Mus musculus: one gene and its partners. The protein of the gene in region 2 purifies or fractionates together with the protein of the main gene of each other region. This does not show direct contact. Links are inferred from orthologs where the notes say so. Each region holds a gene or a part of one and is shown on either strand. Other genes may lie near its edges.

Region 1 (6,410 bases), on a different chromosome or scaffold from region 2:
CTTACAGGTTATTCTGAAGAACAAATAAGGTGAGATCTGAGCCAGGCATGGCCCATGCCTGTAATTCCAGCACTCAAGATACTGAGGCAGGACAATCCTAAATTCACAGCCAGCCAGGACAACATAGGAAGAACAAATCTCAAGGGGAAAAGGAAAACAAGGTGCTGTGTGCTCAGCATGCGACCACAGTGAGTGAGGTACTAGGCTATAAACCCCCGAAACGCTGCTTCAGTCTCACTGCTGCAGGCAGCCACGTCCTGGCTGCACGACAGATGTCAGCAGAGGCAAGGCAAGTTCTCAGGTCTGAGTGTTCCAGCCCCTCAGTGAGGGCCATTCATAACCTTCACTGCTACAGAAAGCATGTAACTTTCCGGGAGGGAGCCAGAAAGCTGAGGAGACAAAGCTTGGGCTTTTTCAGTGAGAGAAACCTGTGCTTTAAGGGCCAGAGGCACCTGAGCTCAGATACCACAAAGTGTTCTGCTTGTTCTTCAGACTTACCTGAGAGGCAGGTCATTCCACTCAAGTCACACTAAGCCTCATGTTCCAGTTCTTTAGATGGGTCTAGTGTATCCCAGGCTAACCTTAAAATCACTATGTAGCCAAGGATGGCCTTGAGCTCTGAACCTTGTTTCTGCTTTCCAATTGTTAGGATGTGCAATACAGGCATGGGAAGTGCAGTATGTATCACCTGCCCAGTTTATACAGTGCTGGGGCCAAATCAGGGCTTCGAGCATGCTAGGCAAGCATCCTACCAGTTCAACTACACCTTCAGTTCCCAGAATCCTTTTTTCTTTTGTTCTTTTTTAAAATGTGTGTTGTGTGTGTGTGTGTATGTCTATGTGAGGATATGTGCACATAAGTACACATAAGTACAGGTACTCAGAGAGGCTAGGATATGGTGTTGAATCCCCTGCAGCTGGAGTTATAGGCAGTTATCAACTGCTAATCATGAGTCCAAAGTTTGATTCTCTGCAAGAACAGTATGCACTCCTAAACTTTCTCCAACCCCCCCCCAAATCACTAACACGCACACACATGCACACACACTTATCATTTTGTGTGTATGTTTTAAAAATGTATGTGAATACAGGGCTATATATCTCATGTCACAAACATGGACAGGAGGTTAACTTTTAGAAGTTGTTTCTCTTCTTCCACCATGGAATCCAGGGATTAAAATCAAGTCATTAGGTTTGTTTAGGAAACCTCCAGACTGCTGGGATTCAAGGTGGGCACCACTATGCCCAGTGGAAGTTCATTTCTTACAGATATGCATTCTGGAGGCAGAGACAAGTGGATCTCTGTCAGTTCAAGGCTAGCCTGGTCTATATAGTAAGTTCTAGGATAGCCAGATCTATGCAGCGACCCTGTCACAAAACTAAAACAAACAAACAACACCCAACAAAATCCTGGCACCCATGTTGTGTTTTTCAGCCCCAGTTTTCCAAGAGCTCCTGACTGACATGCAGCATCCTGCACCACCAGACTTCATAACAGAACCCATGCCCCGCCCTTCTGTATAAGCACTGCCTTGGGGCACCTGCTGGACCTGCTGCCATGCTGGTGAGTCACATATCACTACTGTAATTATGACAGCTGCTGCTCTTGCTTCATCTGTGCACGGAGTCTAAAGCGCCGCAGGCGCGGAAACAAGCCGTTTAACAGTGTTCTGAGCGTAACACCAAGAGACAAGTTTGGCAGTCAGGCCATTCTCTGCACCAACAGAATGTGAAGGACCCCAGCGGCCCCGCCCTTACCTCTTCCCTTAGCATGGTGAACAGGAAGTTCATGAGCACAGCATGCTTTCGAGGATACTTCTGGCACAGGGCACTGATGGCCTGGACAACCACCACCTGGGAGAGAGACCTGAATGAGTGGCAGTCCCTGACAGTCCTGGGGACTTGCTCACTAAATGCCACAGAGTCCCTCCAGGGGAAGACATGCCCTGGGCTCAACATAAGATGAAACCAGGAGGAACACTTCTCCATGCTGGGGCATAAGTCCTGAACCCACCTAAGGCAGGGGAAATATGGCAGTCTTGGCAGACCAAGTGTGTCTCGGTCTCCAAGCCCTGCCTGGCCGGCTTCTTCCCTGCCTTTTCTGTTTTCACCTGACATTCCATTCTCCTCTCTTTTCCTGAAGTCTCTTTGGCATTCCTACTTCTTCCCTCTGCTCTCCCCTCCCTTGTCTTTAACTGATTCAAGTCCTTCTATGGCTCTCACATCACCGCTCTTGCAGGCTCCTAAGCCAGTTCATCTTCTGAGATCCAAGTCTCCTCAAACTCATCCTCCACTGTCAGGAGGGCTAGGTTATTCTCATCTGCAAATCTCACCACATCGCCTTCATATAACCCACAGGCAGAGTAGATTTCTGCCCAGTTTGTACAACCCACACTCTAGAATTTATCCTGCTGAATTAAAAACTGCTCCTACTATTATCTGCTGACAGAAACTCTGCAGATTTCATGACTCCACTTATATAACAATGAAATAATCTAACTATGCAAAATAAGAATATATTAGCGACTGTCAAGAATCGGGGGTGCAGGGCTAGGAATGGAGAGCTTGAGTGCTGTCTAGTGATGCTAAGTCTGACTGTGGCAGCAATTTTGAAAGGTATCACACATGCATCTCGTAACCAACGAAATCGAAGTAAGCTCTCTAGATCGTACAACGGCTGGTTTCCTCATCAACTACAACTGTGCTGGATATGGGCACTGGAGCGGAAAGAAATGCCCAGGGCTCCCCTCTTAGTTATTTATTTGCAACCTCCTGTGAATTATTCTAAAGTAAAAGTTTAAAAAATATGTTGGGTGGTGGTGGTACACGCCTTTAATCCCAGCATTCAGGAGGAAGACATGCAAATCTCTGTGGGTTCGAGGCCAGCCTGGTCAATAGAGTGAGTGGCAGGACAGTCAGGGCTACAAAGAGTAACACTGTCTTTTAAAAAAAAAAAGAAAGAGTAAGAGAAGCCAGATACAGTGGCATACATCTCTACTATTGGCATTTGGGAGACGGTAGGAGGATTGCTCCAAGCTTGACACTAGTCTGTATTCTACTGAGTTCTAAGTCAGCCTGTTTAGAAAAACCGAAATGACAACAGAAAGGACAATGAAAGCCAGGCAGGGCACTACATATTGGTAATCCCAGTAGCAATGAAGGAGCTCAAGCAGGAGCATCCTGAGTTCAAGGTCGAATGAGCTACATAGGGATGCCCTGTCTTGATTTGAAAAATAGAAAAAATAAGTCCCAAACCACCATCCTTCCAAACGACTTTTTTACAATTAGAACTTTACCATGAGCTCTACGTCAGGAAACAACCGCAGCCTGTTCTGATGTCACCACTTTGACCTGCTCCCCAGCTGGCCTGTCTCCGAGTACTTTCCCAATCCCTGCTCCTGCCCCTTCTCCCTGGCTCACACTGCCTTCCTCCCCAGCAGCTGCTACTTCAGGGCCAGCTCCTCACTGCATCTCAGGCTACTGCTCATTTACATGTCTGCTCATTTTCTAAACCTTACTCTCCCAACAGACAGTTCCCATCTGCCCCATCCACTGCTGCCCCACTTCCGAAACTCTAGCACACTGTATTTAAGGTTCAAAGGGACAGAGGGTCAAAAACTGGGAGGAAGGACAGCAGGCTCAGACCATCTCCCTTGTCTTGGGGACTGCAGGCTGTGAGGGTACTGGGTACCTTGAACTCATCTGAGATCTCCGACATGAAGGAGGAAATCTGCTTCATAAGGCGGTCAATGCTGCTCTCGCTCCCTGTCTTGAGCAGGGTGGTGATGGCCAATGTGGCGATGCTCCTGTTTGAGTCTGTAACCAGGTTTTCCAGATCTAGATTGCAGGCAGTCACCGCTGAAGGGTGCTTCATAGCCACCTGCAGAGGGAGGACAGACACCGGGCAGTACCCAATTCTGTCATTTCACCTCTGGCCTGGCCAGAGGTCCTTTGGGGACCATGTCTACCCGCCTCCCAGTCCATTCAGGGAAAGGAGACAGCAGCTGGACCAGCCTGCATCCCCTCCTCTCCACTCAACTCTTACCTTATTGAGGGTGCGCACAGCAGCATAGCGAAGTGCAGCCTTGGGTGAGCTACAGAAAAGCTGGAGCACTGCAGGGAGGAAGACACTGTCATCAGGCTGCCTAGATGCCAGGCAAGGGAATGTCAGTGGAATACCTGGGGTTCCCAGGGAATGGCATGGGATCAAAGGTGAACAAGCTCTCGGGCTAGTCACACACAAGCCTTCTGCTTAGCAGAGAGCAGCAGAACTGCCTCGTCCTGAACCTTGTCAGCAAGGGCCCTGTGGGTGTCAATGGCCGTCATAGACTAAGCACCTGCCCTGTGCTAGGCCCTCACTGAGTGGATGCTGTGCCTGTCTGATTCTCTGAACTCCCTGGGAACAGCGGCAAAGGACCTCAAGTGACTTTTAGTAGCAGCTACCCGACAGCAAAAGGGGTAAGTCACGGGCTGTCCACATCTGCAGCCCACCTAGCCACCTCTCTTTCTATGTTCATAGGACCCAGTAGGACATACCTCAGCACCAAGCTAGGGGGCTAAAGCCTCTCTCAAAGAGCAAATGTATTCCTCTCTGGATCAGTGCTAAAGAGTTGACCACTGCTGTGTCTATCAGGGACCACACTATTCCCTCCACCTGCCTGCCCGAAGCTCACAGCTAAAGTCTATGTTCTAGTATAGTCTTGAATGGGACTGTATTCTAGAATATTGCTTAGCTTTTCTCTTGCTATCTATCTACCTATCTATTTATTTTGGAACTAACATTTCTCTTAAAATAGTTGGATGATGTATCTTTTAAAGCCTCTACTTCTTATCTTTCATTTTCTGGAAATATGAGACTATCATAGGAGTACATTAGTCTCTAGTCAGTGAGTAAATGCATCCATAATTGAGCCTATCTTCCTACCAGTTTAGTATCATCACCACTGTGGAGACCTCTAGAAGAACAGTCCAATCATTACAACTCTTACTTCGTTGCCTCTGGGCGGGTCCTGAGTTAGATATTCATCCCTCTCTCCTCCTCATGAAACCCTATGCAGACCCTCGTTGACCTCTCAACTGTTTTGCAGCAGCTCTTTAGCTTTTCAAGCCCCAGGTGCATATTCTCTACTCTCATCCCAACGCCAGCATCCGGCAGGGAGACAGGCACTGCTCTGCTCGCTAGAGCAGAAACAACTGAAAGCTGTTGGCTTCTCCTTAGTAACACACACAGAATGCACTCAGTAGTGTGTGTCACACTACTGAGTAGCCTGTGCAGATCCCACCGGTACCACCTACAGCAAGAGGGCCCTTTGTGTTTCAGAAGGGAAATGAGGCCTGGTGAGGAAGGTCAGACAGAGGACAGGGGCTTTCTGCCTGCTCAGGGCAGTTGCAGTGAGTCCAGCTGTGAGTTCCAGTGCGCCCCATGAGCAAGCACCCTGAGCTTTATAGGTCCTGGGCCCCACCCCGAGTCCTCCTCTGGAGCCAGCTGGCCCAGCAGTGCCCCACCAGCACTGAGATGGAACTGAAAACAGCCCTCCTTTAAAGCAACACCTGTGACAGCCCTACATCATGGCCTATCTGAAGATCTCTGGCTCGGGGCCTGTGCCCAGCAAGGAAGGGGATATATGGAGACCTGACACAGCAGGGGCCAGCTCTTTGGCACTGCAGCCTGGCAGGTTGACAATGGCTGAGGCAGCTTCATACACCACCATCTCATGCTTGTTACGCAGGCAGCTCTCGATGAAGTCAAACAGCGGGCTGTCACGGCTACCAAAGAACAAAGCAACAAGAAGTTGGGGACAGTCCAGCAGTGCAGAAGGCATCATCTAGCTGGCAAGAGACCAGCGTCCTCACCTGCCGTCTTCTTCCTCTAGTTGCTTGCTGGCCACTCGGATCATCATGCAGTAGGCAAAGGGGGACTTGAGGCCGTGCCGGGTGAACTTACTGATCATCTTACTCACGGCCAGTCGGTCATTCTTCCGCACATGGTACAGAAGTCCTAGGGCATGGTACTGAAGGACAGAGGCAGCATGGGCAACAGACACAGAAGCCCTGGGAAGGGCACTGTGTGTCTCTAGCTCCATCCTTCTTGTTTAAGCACAGCACTCATGTCCACACAGAGGGGCTGGAACAACTCCCAAGCACTCCCCGTAACCAACTCCAGTGTCGTGCCCAACACACTATCACATACATGATGTTCTCACTTGCACCAGAGTTCTGGACCCTGCAGGTATCCTGACCATGTGAGAGAAGACACCAGAATAGAAAGAGCTGCAGCACACAGCTAGGGCAAGATATGAGCATAGTCCTGTGGGACACAGAACACAAACCCTTCCAACACCTAGAGGACTGGCCTGCTTGTCCCTACTTATTTGTCCCACTGTGGTCAAGCTGGCTTTGGAGGTCTAGAAG
Region 2 (6,410 bases):
ATGGTGTATACAGGGCAATGGTGTATACAGGGCAATGGTGTACACAGGGCAATGGTGTACACAGGGCAATGGTGTATACAGGGCAATGGTGTATACAGGATAATGGTGTATACAGGGTAAGCCTTCTGAAAGGCTCACAATCATTCATTGAAATAAAAATGATTACTCCTTCCACTCGTGAGTATAGTTGTTCTGTGTAGAATATAGAATTATGCCTATTACCTTTTTAAAACATTTGTGTGGATTAATATGATTGCCAAGAATATTAGATGATTTCATTATAATGTTTGAAACATATACTTCTCATTTTTCTTATTTTTCTAGAAACTATTAACTTGTATACATTTTAATACTGTTTCATGATTAATAAATGTGCTTTTAGCTATATCCAAATTCTTGTTTATTTTCTCTTAGGGGATCTGAAACTTGTGGAAAAACCATCTCCTTTGACTCTTGCTCCTCATGACTTTGCAAATATTAAAGCTAATGTCAAGGTAGCATCAACAGAAAACGGAATAATTTTTGGCAATATAGGTATGGTTCTGTTTTATGGCATGTGATAGTTGAGTGTTTTGTTTCTTTAAAGAATGTGGTATTATGTACTTATGGTCGTGCTTGAGGGCAGAACATGAATCTGCTGATTTATAGGGTACTTTATATGGTAACCAAGCATTGTATTATGTTCTAGGTAATACCAGATTGAGCTGGGTGGAGGCGTCATAGTCCTCAGGAAGCCACTAGGCAGGATGAAAGGACAGATGTAACAACAGTGTGATTAGAATGAGTTTGATACACGGCATACTTCGGGGTCAGATAGAAAGCAGTGTAGTGTGGGAAGCTGTGTAAAGGAAGATTTGTTATTAAGGAACAACATGTACTAATCATAAAAATTCATAGAGGTCCTTGTGGCCAAGCACACAGGAATATTTCAAACGTTGAGATAGGCTTGTACAGAAGAATTCAGTCAGTATTTACTAGCAATTTCTGTTATAGGCATAAACTACCATAGTAAGGAACAACAGATAGGTCTTAAGATGGTTAAGGTCAAGTAAGGGAAAACAGGATATACAAAATAAGTTCCATACATAAAGCTAAATGTAATGAAAGATACGTATATGAGCAGTGAGTGAGTCCATGAAGGGATTTGATCAGTTCTCAAAGTGTTGTAAGGATTGAAAAGTTAGGAAGGGCTTCACAGCTCTCGTTGAGTTGGATTTTAATCAGGAAGTAATCCACAGAGGATTGACTGCAGGCAGAGCAAATGCACATGGAACGATGGGCTGAGCAGTTAGAGTGAAAAGCAAATTAGGAAGTCAGGAAGGCTGACCCTGCTTGCCCTGCAAAAGAATTGAGTACTTAAGCATGGAACAGGAAGACACTGGAGGATGACAATGAGATGTATGGTTAAATATTTCTGTGACAGCAGTACAGATGAGAACTCTGTAGAGGACACGGAAGATTGCCTGAGTAGGTTATTGAAGACACCAAGTGAAAGGGGAGAGCACTGCCTAACCTGACAGAGCAGTGCTTAGATAGAAAGGAGGGGGAAGTAGAGCTCTTTAGGGGTGTGTCTTTAGATACAGGACTGTAAACTGACGAAGACAGTTTTGATAACCCTCCGTTTCCCTAAAAGTAAAAAGAGAACTTAGACCCCTATCAGAGTAGAACTTTAAATTTAGGTTTTAGTTTTAGGGGAGACAAGGGAATGGTGATGGACGGTGCTTGTTGTTAGTTGGTTGTTTTCTTGAGACATGGTTTCTCTGTGTATCCTGGCTATCCTGAAACTCATTTTGAAGACCAGGCCAGGCTGGCCTCGAATTTAGAGACTGGTTTGCCTCTGCCTCCCAAGTGTTGGGATTAAAGGTGTACACCACCACCTAACTTTGGTTAGTTGGTTTGTTTGTTTGTTTGTTTTTCCTGAGACAGGGTCCCACTGGGTAACCCAGACTAGACTCAAATAAAGTAATGCTTCTACTTTAGCTCCAACTTCTGAGATTATAGGCATGTACCATCCATCACAGCCATCCCAGATTATGTCTTTCTAGGGAAGAAACAGTCTTGGAGACAGATAATCTTATATTACAAAATTGCATCAACATATAACCAAATATTAGGAGGAAAAGTTTAGATTTATAACTAGATCTCAACTATGAGAATACTGAACTATTTGTGTATCTGGCGTAGTACCTGGCCCATTATAGCGGCTATATAAATATTCACCAACTTAAGCGTAACAACAACAGACAAAGTGTACCTGAGCCCAAGTCCTGAGTCTTAAGTCCTATTGCCTATCAGTTCTGTAACCTGAGGTAACTTACTTGACTTCCCTGCTTTCCTAGTCTGCGAGATGGAAAATCGTAAGGTACAATTGATGGCACTATTCAGTTGGTAATATTTATAAAGCACTGAGAATCTAGTATATATAAATATTTGCTAATATCATAAATATTTGCTATTTTGAACTAACTTCCACCCTTTGGGGATCTTTCTGTATGTTTATTACAGTTTATGATGTTTCTGGAGCAGCAAGTGACAGAAACTGTGTGGTCCTCAGTGACATCCACATTGACATCATGGACTATATCCAGCCTGCAACTTGCACTGATGCTGAGTTCCGTCAGATGTGGGCCGAATTTGAATGGGAAAATAAAGTTAGTCATTGAGAGGTTTCCTATGCATATCTTCCTGATGACTAGTGCTGAGGGCTTTTTTTGTTTGTTTGTTTGTTTGTTTGTTTAAATATTTTTTTATTACATATTTTCCTCAATTACATTTCCAATGCTATCCCAAAAGTCCCCCATACCCTCCCCCCCCCACTCCCCTACCCACCCATTCCCACTTTTTGGCCCTGGCGTTCCCCTGTACTGGGGCATATAAAGTTTGCAAGTCCAGTGGGCCTCTTTCCAGTGATGGCCGACTAGGTCATCTTTTGATACATATGCAGCTAAAGACAAGAGCTCCGGGGTACTGGTTAGTTCATAATGTTGTTGCACCTACAGGGTTGCAGATCTCTTTAGCTCCTTGGATACTTTCTCTAGCTCCTCCATTGGGGACCCTGTGATCCATCCAATAGCTGACTGTGAGCATCCACTTATGTGTTTGCTAGGCCCCGGCCTAGTCTCACAAGAGACAGCTATATCAGGGTCCTTTCAGCAAACTCTTGCTAGTGTATGCAATGGTGTCATCGTTTGGAGGCTGATTATGGGATGGATCCCTGGATATGGCAGTCTCTAGATAGTTCATCCTTTTGTGTCAGCTCCAAACTTTGTCTCTGTAACTACTTCCATGGGTGATTGTTCCCAATTCTAAGAAGGGGCAAAGTGTCCACACTTTGGTCTTCGTTCTTCTTCAGTTTCATGTGTTTTGCAAATTGTATATCTCAGGTATACTAAGTTTCTGGGCTAATATCCACTTATCAGTGAGTACATATCATTTGAGTTCTTTTGTGATTGTGTTACCTCACTCAGGATGATGCCCTCCAGGTCCAACCATTTGCCTAGGAATTTCATAAATTCATTCGTTTTAATAGCTGAGTAGTACTCCATTGTGTAAATGTACCACATTTTTTGTATCCATTCCTCTGTTTAGGGGCATCTGGGTTCTTTCCAGCTTCTGGCTATTATAAATAAGGCTGCTATGAACATAGTGGAGCATGTGTCCTTCTTACCGGTTGGGACATCTTCTGGATATATGCCCAGGAGAGGTATTGCGGGATCCTCCGGTAGTACTATGTCCAATTTTCTGAGGAACTGCCAGACTGATTTCCAGAGTGGTTGTACAAGCTTGCAATCCCACCAACAATGGAGGAGTATTCCTCTTTCTCCACATCTTCGCCAGCATCTGCTGTCACCTGAATTTTTGATCTTAGGGCTTTTTTTTTTTTAAGTAATTCCCTCTAAAAAGCAAACAGCTTTTCATTATCTATTTCTGTGTATTACCTTAACTAGAAACCATGCAAGCCCTTTAATAATTCCATTGGTGAATTAAGTAGAATGGCAGTTATTTCTGGGATCTTGTGATAGTATCTTGCTCTCTAGCCTAGTCAAGTCTCCAGTGCCTGACCCTCCACCCATGTCATCTTGGCACTGGCACTATGAGTGTTCATCACCATGCCTACCTAGTCATAACTCTGTAACTACTTTGGTTGAGACAGTATAGACAAGATTCCTCTTCTTCTGTGACCAGGTGATAATCTACCATTGGCTCTTGTACCTTTGAGGCTGTGCAAAGTCTGTGGCCCAGTGGGAAGCTTTGTCCCTTGAGTTTTACTTGAACTCTGTATTTCCTTGATGGTCTAGTGAGATGTCTGTGTCTGAAGCCGCTGCCGATACCAGTTGGTTTCGTAGCAGTCGTTTACTTTTTTATTGCCCACACTCCACTCTTCCCCTCCATAGTTGAAGGAAAGTGTAGGATGAAAAGACAATGCAGTTTCACTGTAAGGCTCACGGAGTCTTCTCCTCTGCAGGTGACAGTTAACACCAACATGACTGACCTGAATGACTACTTACAGCACATCCTCAAGTCGACCAACATGAAGTGCCTGACTCCAGAGAAGGTAGGAGGAGACTAGAAAAGGCTAAAGTCCCTAAAAAGACTAGGACAGTAGTTGGTTGTCTTTTCCGGTTTCCTCTGCCATTTTTTTATAATAATTCAGCATGGGAAAACTGAGTTGCTCTGGAATATGAGAGTAATAACTACCCACAGATATTTGAGCTGCTCACCTCTCTTCTGAACTGTGTCTTCCCACTCGTTCATGGCTATGCCTTAACTGGGACAGTCAAGTTACTTGGGTTTCTTGCTTTTAGTTTTTTGTCTTCTCCATCTTTCAGATAAGAGACTTTATTCTATAACCATTATTTATTTGTGATACTAGATTAGCAAATGCCCTCCTTCGTGGGCTAATTGTACATCAGAATAAATCTCTAATGCAGTGGCTTTCTGCTATCTACATGCAAAAAGACTAGAACAAAGACAAAATGAAATTGAATCTCTAAGTATCTTTCTTTAGAAAATTTCTGTTAGTGCCATAATGTGCATCTCCCTAATAAGAGAATGTCAACTGTCATCTGGGTGTGTAGCTCAGAGATAAAATGTTTGCTTAGTATCCAACACACACACACACACACACACACACACACACACACACACACACACACACACACACACACAGGGAGCAGGGGGCGTGGAGGGCAGATGTGTTTACTGCCAAACAAGTAGATTTTGTATATTAGTTTCTTCAACAATTTCTAAGTCCAACAAAAGAAGTCTTTCTTTATGGAAGTTAAAAGCCTGGTACAGGAGAGAAATAAGAACAAGAATATATAAATATAAATTTGAAGAGATACTCTCTTCAAAGTTATGTTTATTAAGTATAATATGCACAGGGAATTCTTAAATTTTTACACATACATTTATTTTGAGTTTTGGAAAACTCATTAGCTCCTATACCCAGTACCACATAAGTAAAGCTTTAAATAATAGTTTGCATGTATATTTGAGTTTGCCAAGGTATAATTCTTTAGCAAAGTATTTAATTTATCACACATTTTTCCCCCCAGGCCCTTTCTGGATACTGTGGCTTTATGGCAGCCAATCTTTATGCACGTTCTATATTTGGAGAGGATGCACTTGCAAATGTCAGCATTGAGAAGCCAGTTCACCAGGGACCAGATGCTGCCGTTACTGGCCATATAAGAATTCGTGCAAAAAGTCAGGTAATAACATCCTTTTTTGAGAGCATCTCTGCACCAAATAAAGGGAAGAAGAATTCATGTCTGTCTTATTTCTGTGGTATAATTTCTTCTGTCATAATTATGTTTTGTGCATAAGACATACATACATACATATGCATGGTATTTTCTGAACTTTAATTCATTTAAAATGGCTTATTCTACAATACTGCCTAAAACATTGATTCCTGTGTGATATTTGTGAAACAGATTTTGTAGAGTTTTTTGAAGATATGGCATAAGTCAAGCACTAACCAACATAACTAAAATCAACCCAGTATAAGTTTTTAGAGTCTGTTTTATATATCCTTTGCTTTGTTGTTGAATGTGATGTCATCCAATGGAGGCTGGTATAAGCTATTTGGGCATTGTTTCAGTAATTACTTCTTTGTTGAGTGTGGGGATATAACTCAGTCTTGGGAATGCTCTTCTAGCATGGTAGACCATGAGTTAATCCTCAACATCACAAAAAATAGATCAAAATATGAACATCTTCATTCTTCTTTACAGGGAATGGCCTTGAGCCTTGGAGATAAAATCAACCTGTCTCAAAAGAAGACTAGTCTATAAGGATGAACAAAAGGTCTTTGAAAGTTTATGCTTAAAATTTAGGTGTGGGCTGATTGGACTCCAACATCTTTTGTACTCTTTTCATGCTTTATGTTATGTAGAATTTGAGTT
Region 3 (6,410 bases), on a different chromosome or scaffold from region 2:
CCAAACAAACAAGAATTTAAAAAAAAAAAATGAAAGAGAGAGAAACTATGCTATTTTTAAAAATCTTTTTCTATTTTTATTCTCCAGGTTAGACGCTATATTTACAAGTTTTTATGAAATGACTTACACACAGAAAAACTCATAGAGGTAAACAGTTCTGATACCTGACTTCTGCTCAAAGACAGGAGCCATAGCAAGAGGAATTGACTTCATATCAAAGGGTTTTTCTGAAGGCTCCAATGTATACTGGTGTAAGGCCTTTTCCATCCCTGGTATAGAGACTGTCAGACCTAGAGACAGGAAAATCTCAACATTATAATCTATTCTCAACAATCTGTAATGGTTAAGCTTTTTAAAGAAAGAGAAACATAACAAAAAACTATAGCCTAGTGGTTCTCAATCTGTGGGGATCAAAGTACTCTTTCACGAGGGCTGTCTAAGACCATCAGAAAACACACATATTTGTATTACAATTCATAACAGGAGCAAAATTACAGTTATGAAGTGGTGACAAAAATGTTATGGTAGGGGTTGCTACAATGTAAGGAACTGTATTAAAGGGTTGCAGCATTAGGAAGCTGTAGATAGCCTACTTAATCTAACAAAAGATTATTATAGACATCTGCCTCATAAACTTATAAGCTGCTTTATTTCTTTCAAGGAAACATGGGAACAAAGAATAAAAAATATCAACAGAATGCAAGCAATTCTCATAAAAAAATATCTTATCTATATGGGAACAAGAAAAGCAGAAGAAAATGAAAATGGGGACAGCCATTTAAGAGGGAGCTTAAGTTTTTTCTTTTTTCTTTTTTTTGGTTTTTCGAGACAGGGTTTCTCTATAGTCCTGGCTGTCCTGGAGCTCACTCTGTAGAGAGGGAGCTTAAGAAGCCATATTCTTTGGACCCTTTCATATTTTAAAAAAAAATCATCTTCTCTATTATTTTATAGGAACTGCTATTACCAAATTAGAAAATACCTTTATGAATATGGGTTTCTCTAGAAACAGAATTGCATTCAAAGATTTAAAACATTCAACTGCCTAAAGGAGTCAGCTAATACATGACTCAGCATAAAAATCATTGCTCAGCCAGGCGTGGTAGTGCACACCTTTAATCCCAGCACTCAGGAGGCAGGGGCAGGCGGATTTCTGAGTTCCAGGCCAGCCTGGTCTACAAAGTGAGTTCCAGGACAGCCAGGGCTACACAGAGAAACCCTGTCTCGAAAAACCAAAAAAACAAAAAACAAAAAAAAAAAACATTGCTCATTTGACAAACAAATGTGCTATGTGTCCATAATCCTGACTCTCACTGACCATTGAAGATATATGTAGCATTCAGGGCCATCTGTCTCTGCTGTAGCACATTCAGGTAGAAGGTAGCTCGGTCCCGTACCTCATCATCAGTATCCATCATACACCTGATCAGAAAAAATAGTATAGGCACACTTCTGTCTAAGTCTTTGTATACAGAGATGTCGAACAGTCTCACCACTTACCTGAAGAGTGCAGCTGAGGTCATCTGATATGACTTTTATGACAAGAGTTCAATAATAGCTAACATCCTAAAAATTCTTGACCTGTTACGAATTACTAAAGAAATGTTGCTATTTGAGAAGGCACTGAGATCACTAGGAAGAACACAATACCATGACATAATAATTTACAATCTAATCCTGAACCTGTGACTACATGAGCTCAACAAAGACAGCTTTTCTACAACTAAGAAATGGAAATGTTAAACTTTCTAAGGATACAAAAAGAAAACTAGCACTCAGAATCTAGACAGCCATTGTTCAAATGGCAATCTGTTTTACTTAAACTAGTTAGTCTCAGTCTTTGGCTAATGAGTTAATTGCTTTAGTTATAAAATGCAATCACAAAATATTTGCTAAAAGGACCACCAACTTTTTTCCTTTCCTCACCAACCAAGGAGTTATGGAGATCATAAAAGGCTACTATCTTTAGCTTTTCATACGAATCATTTCACATCTCTTTTAAGTTAGTACCTACTGTACAAGTTGAGGTACACAGGTTAACCTTACTCTCTCAGTATCATTTAAAAGAAATCTAAAACTCAAATTTTGCACATAAATAATTACTAGAAAAAAAAAAACCAAAAACAAAACAACCAGACCCCCAAAACTCCATTTGCCCTGGACTAACTCTATCAGCTCTACTCTTGGCTCCTCAGTTTATCTGACATAGTACAAAGAGGTTTTTTTACTACTTAGCTACATGGAATTCTTATTTTCCAACAGCCAGCATTCATTCTTTTACATACCTTTGTAAGAGTACAAGGATGCTGGGGAGAAGGCTCTCATTCTGAGCCCCAAATTTAGCCAAAGCACTCACAGCAGCTATTGTGAAACACAAGATGAAGCAATGTAAATACTGGCTTCTCAGAGCTAAGCAATAAACATTCAAAAACAAATCAGACACTTGTGAGGCCAAGGCAGGAAGGTTACTCAAAGTCTGAGACCAGTCTAAGCTACAAAGTAAGACCTTGTAGTGGAAAACAAACAAAACAAAACAAAAATACCAAAACTAGAAGCAAATTAGAGAAGCAGTTGGTAGTCAATAGAAATAAAGTCTCTTGTGTTGACAGTTTCTTGATCTTACTTAAATATAAATAGAATAGTGAAGAATCTAGCAAACTCTATAGAGGAAGATTCTCATTCAGCGAGGAAAAATAATTATCTATCTATCTATCTATCTATCTATCTATCTATCTATCTATCTATCATCTGTCTATCTATCTGTCTATCTATCTACCACCTATCTATCTCCTGGGTGTGAGCTGTCTCTTCCCCATGACAGCCTCTTATATATCCTCTGACATGATTCAGTTCAAATTTTAAACAACTAGCACCAAAAAACTATTATTAAAATTTCTTTCATTCAACAAGGATTCAATGCTCACCTAAATTTTACCTGGAGGTGTGGCAAGAGCTAAGGGGTAGAAAGATAAAAGACATGGTCTCTAACCTAAGGAGTGTGGCTGCAGTAAGATAGACAAGTAAAGACTATCTTGCCTAGTAAATCTCTCGTAAACTGTATCCAAGTTGCTAGGTAAGTACGGGGCTTAGGAAAGACAAAGATTTGAGATGCTACTGCACTTAATTTTTTAGGATAGTTAGTTCAGCCAGAGGGAAAAGGCAGGACAAGAGTATTAGAAAGGAAAACAAATCAAAACGTCCTGTGTCCTGAGCAGAAAGTGTTGCTATTAGACTTGAGTGAGAAAGGCTTAGTGTTGGACCCATGTTAGAATGAAAGTAAAAGACTAGAGATAAACTAAAAACCACACAGACGTCAAGGTTTTAAAGGTTACATTATCCCACATAGGTATAGGATATATATGTAGTTTGTTTTTTTAAGATTTTGTACAAATTATTTTTAATCATGTATATCCACCTGTGTGCAGCTATGTACACATGAACACACGTGCTAGGGGAGGTCAGAAATATCAGATCCTCTGGGAACTGGAGTTACAGGTAGTTGTTAGCCATGTAATGTAGATGCTGGAAGCCAAATTCAGGTCCTTGGCAAGAGCAGTAAGTACTCCTAAGGCTAAGTCAGGTCTCCAGCCCAAGTTTGCTATTTTAATGACGGCTCTTCACATTCAGCTAATAAATACTGTCTGTGAAACTAGAAACAGATGAGCTAGGGATCAGAAATGAATGAAAGCCTAAAGCTGTACCAAACGACATAAAGACAGGAGAATGAAGAATCAGGAGGGAAGAAAAGTGACAGCACTGTGGTAAAGAACAGAGGAAGGTTCAACTCTGTGACTGAAATCTGTCTTGTGAGAGTAGGATCAAGTGAAGATTTCAGTTTGAAGTAGTTTGAATTTCACATTATATTTGAGGGGTGGTGTGAACATTCATATTCAGGAGTCAACAAAGCTCAAAAAAACAATCTAGAAGAATGTGAACTAAGATAAAAATATTAAGTAGTCTGACTGACCAGTTAACTTATATGTAATTTAAAAATGAAACAAGAAAGAATTTAAAGAGGGCCAAATTTTATTGAGCTGAAAAAAAAATGGACAAAGAGCATATAAAGGCAACTAGTGATGTCATTTTTGAGTTTATCTGGAAACAAAATATAAGGATAGATAAGGTCAATAGTTTATAAGAGAAGGGATCACAGGAGAATTTACTGATTCTAGGTAATAGACTAGAAAGAGTCACTTAAGATGTATATATGAACACATCTATACATACATAAATCCTTATACATTTTACTTATGGTTTAAAGAAAAAATAGAGGCCCCACTATAGTATTCCTGTCACACTGAAAGACAAGGGCTGTAGGTCTCTAATTAAAGGCAAAAATCTGTGTGGAAGTTGAAACACAAAAGAAGAGCTGTATATCTGGAACCAGGGTGTCCTCCAAGATCATATCACAACATTAGGGAACCTGCAACTTCATTACTACTCTCTTGAATCACCTATATTCAAAGACCAGCAATGACATCATTAGTTGTGCTCTAATGACTCACCAGCTCTGACAGCCTCATTCTCCAGGACCACCCTATTAAAAATGAATCTGATATACTTGGAGGGAACAGGAGTTCTAGGGCCCTCTTTGCCCAATAAGTGGAGAATTTTAGTAGCCAGAACGGTATGTTCACAGTCCTCAATGAATTCACAGAGGTGGGCTAGACCAGCTTCTTTACTCTCAGGGTTCTCTTCCACAATGCTGATTATGCAGTCCACAATGGCCTTTTTGTATTCAAAACCTCCCTGAGAAAAGAGAAGATAAAACTGCTATTTGTTCTAAAGACTTTTTTTTTTTTTTAAAATCTAACCACCACCCACCACCAATGGTGTTCCCATTTTAAGGAACTTTTTAGAATTTTATTTTAAAGAAATGCTTATATTTTAAGATTCATGCTTATAATATTAAAATTTCAACTAACTTTATTTAATATAACAATAAAAACAAAGTTGTTCCCCTTCAAGTGGGAAAATAATTAGCTGTAATAAATACAGCAGTTGGAATTCTGTATATGTTTGCATGGTATACAGAAATGAGAAAGAAATATATTTAACACATGATAAAGAAATATGCTTAAAATACTAATGGGAGGTCCTGGGTTGAGTTGGAGAGCCTCCAGGGGCAGGAAAGGGGTGGACATTATTAAGATACATTGAATATATGCATTACAACATCAAAGAAAAAAATAATGATACAAACCATGAAGAAGTGAGTTAAAAACAATAACAACAAAAACACTGTGGTGGTATTTAACAGCAATCGAGGGAATTTAAGAGAACAACTTCCTATGTTAAAACGTAGACTACTACCTACATCATCTCGAAGCATGTTGGAAAGAAAAGTCATCATGACGCTGTGCTTCCGAGGGTACTTGTGACAGAGAGCACTGATGGCCTGCACGACCACCACCTGGAGGAAAGCAAACAGCAGTCAAAGGGGCTGAACACAATCCTGGTATTTGCTTAGGACTTCACCATCAATAAGATAGCTTGTTCTCCTCTACAGTACTTTATACATTTAATATGATCCCAATAAAAATAACAATAAAAATGTTATGAAACAAGGGAGCTTTATTTTGATAAGAAAAAAAAACATACAAGCTTGGAAAACAGTAACAACAGCCTTGATGGGAAGTTAACAGCTGCTAACAGGGTCGACAAAGCTTATTAAAAACTGTGTGGCAATGGTGTGTACAAATAGATAAAAAAGTAGATAGAGAAATGCAGAGAGCAAGGACATATGAAACTTGAATAAAACACGGAAGTATAAGTGTTTCTGAAGTGAACATGAGTGAATTCCTCCACAATAAGAAGTACAAGGATTTTAACAATGACTAAAAATCAGATGGAATAGACAAAAAGACTGATGAATATAACTACACCACAATCCAAAAAACAAAAAAACAAAAAACAAACAAACAAACAAAAACCGTGAGCATTACAGAATCCATTCTAACAGGAGACAAATGGAAAACTGGGGGGAAAAGTAGCAACATGTTTCACATGTTTGTATCTTTAACATAAGAGAAGTGTTAAAATATGGAAAAAATAAAAGACAAAATCCTGTAAAAAATGTGGTGGAAAAACTGAACAGGCACTTCACAGAGAGGTATGAAATGACCTTTGGCAATACAGAAGATGGTTAGGCTGGGGAGACGGATAGATCAGTGGGTGATGTGCTTGCCAAGCAAGTGTGAGGACCCAAGTGTGGATACAGCTATGAGTATCCGTAACCCCAATGCTGCTCCAGTGATCTAGAGGGGAGGAGGACACAGGAGAGGTGGGAAGCCAGTGGACAGGCTAGCTTGGTGAATGCAGTAGCAAGCAGAACCCGCCTCAAACAGACACCTAGGCTTGTCCTCTGGCCTTCAAACATATTCTAGCATATATGTACCCATGTCTACACACAT

Evidence for each region.
Region 1: the proteins of Copb1 (region 2) and Copg1 fractionate together in Homo sapiens (co-fractionation; 11 studies listed by BioGRID and IntAct, counting the BioPlex papers as one, with this or other methods). This does not show direct contact. The link is inferred for Mus musculus from reciprocal best matches to the Homo sapiens genes COPB1 and COPG1.
Region 3: the proteins of Copb1 (region 2) and Copg2 purify together in Homo sapiens (affinity purification with western blotting; 4 studies listed by BioGRID and IntAct, with this or other methods). This does not show direct contact. The link is inferred for Mus musculus from reciprocal best matches to the Homo sapiens genes COPB1 and COPG2.

What each region holds. Positions count from the first base shown.
Region 1 is NC_000072.6:87,893,396-87,899,805, reverse strand, and holds part of Copg1 (coatomer subunit gamma-1), read right to left. Parts: intron 6,011-6,410; coding exon 5,853-6,010; intron 5,766-5,852; coding exon 5,632-5,765; intron 4,113-5,631; coding exon 4,045-4,112; intron 3,880-4,044; coding exon 3,691-3,879; intron 1,854-3,690; coding exon 1,758-1,853; intron 1-1,757. UniProt on the Homo sapiens protein: The coatomer is a cytosolic protein complex that binds to dilysine motifs and reversibly associates with Golgi non-clathrin-coated vesicles, which further mediate biosynthetic protein transport from the ER, via the Golgi up to the trans Golgi network.
Region 2 is NC_000073.6:114,215,767-114,222,176, reverse strand, and holds part of Copb1 (coatomer subunit beta), read left to right. Parts: intron 1-414; coding exon 415-534; intron 535-2,505; coding exon 2,506-2,651; intron 2,652-4,465; coding exon 4,466-4,555; intron 4,556-5,558; coding exon 5,559-5,714; intron 5,715-6,239; coding exon 6,240-6,299; 3' UTR 6,300-6,410. UniProt on the Homo sapiens protein: The coatomer is a cytosolic protein complex that binds to dilysine motifs and reversibly associates with Golgi non-clathrin-coated vesicles, which further mediate biosynthetic protein transport from the ER, via the Golgi up to the trans Golgi network.
Region 3 is NC_000072.6:30,811,429-30,817,838, forward strand, and holds part of Copg2 (coatomer subunit gamma-2), read right to left. Parts: intron 5,411-6,410; coding exon 5,315-5,410; intron 4,747-5,314; coding exon 4,503-4,746; intron 2,359-4,502; coding exon 2,283-2,358; intron 1,420-2,282; coding exon 1,316-1,419; intron 291-1,315; coding exon 165-290; intron 1-164. UniProt on the Homo sapiens protein: The coatomer is a cytosolic protein complex that binds to dilysine motifs and reversibly associates with Golgi non-clathrin-coated vesicles, which further mediate biosynthetic protein transport from the ER, via the Golgi up to the trans Golgi network.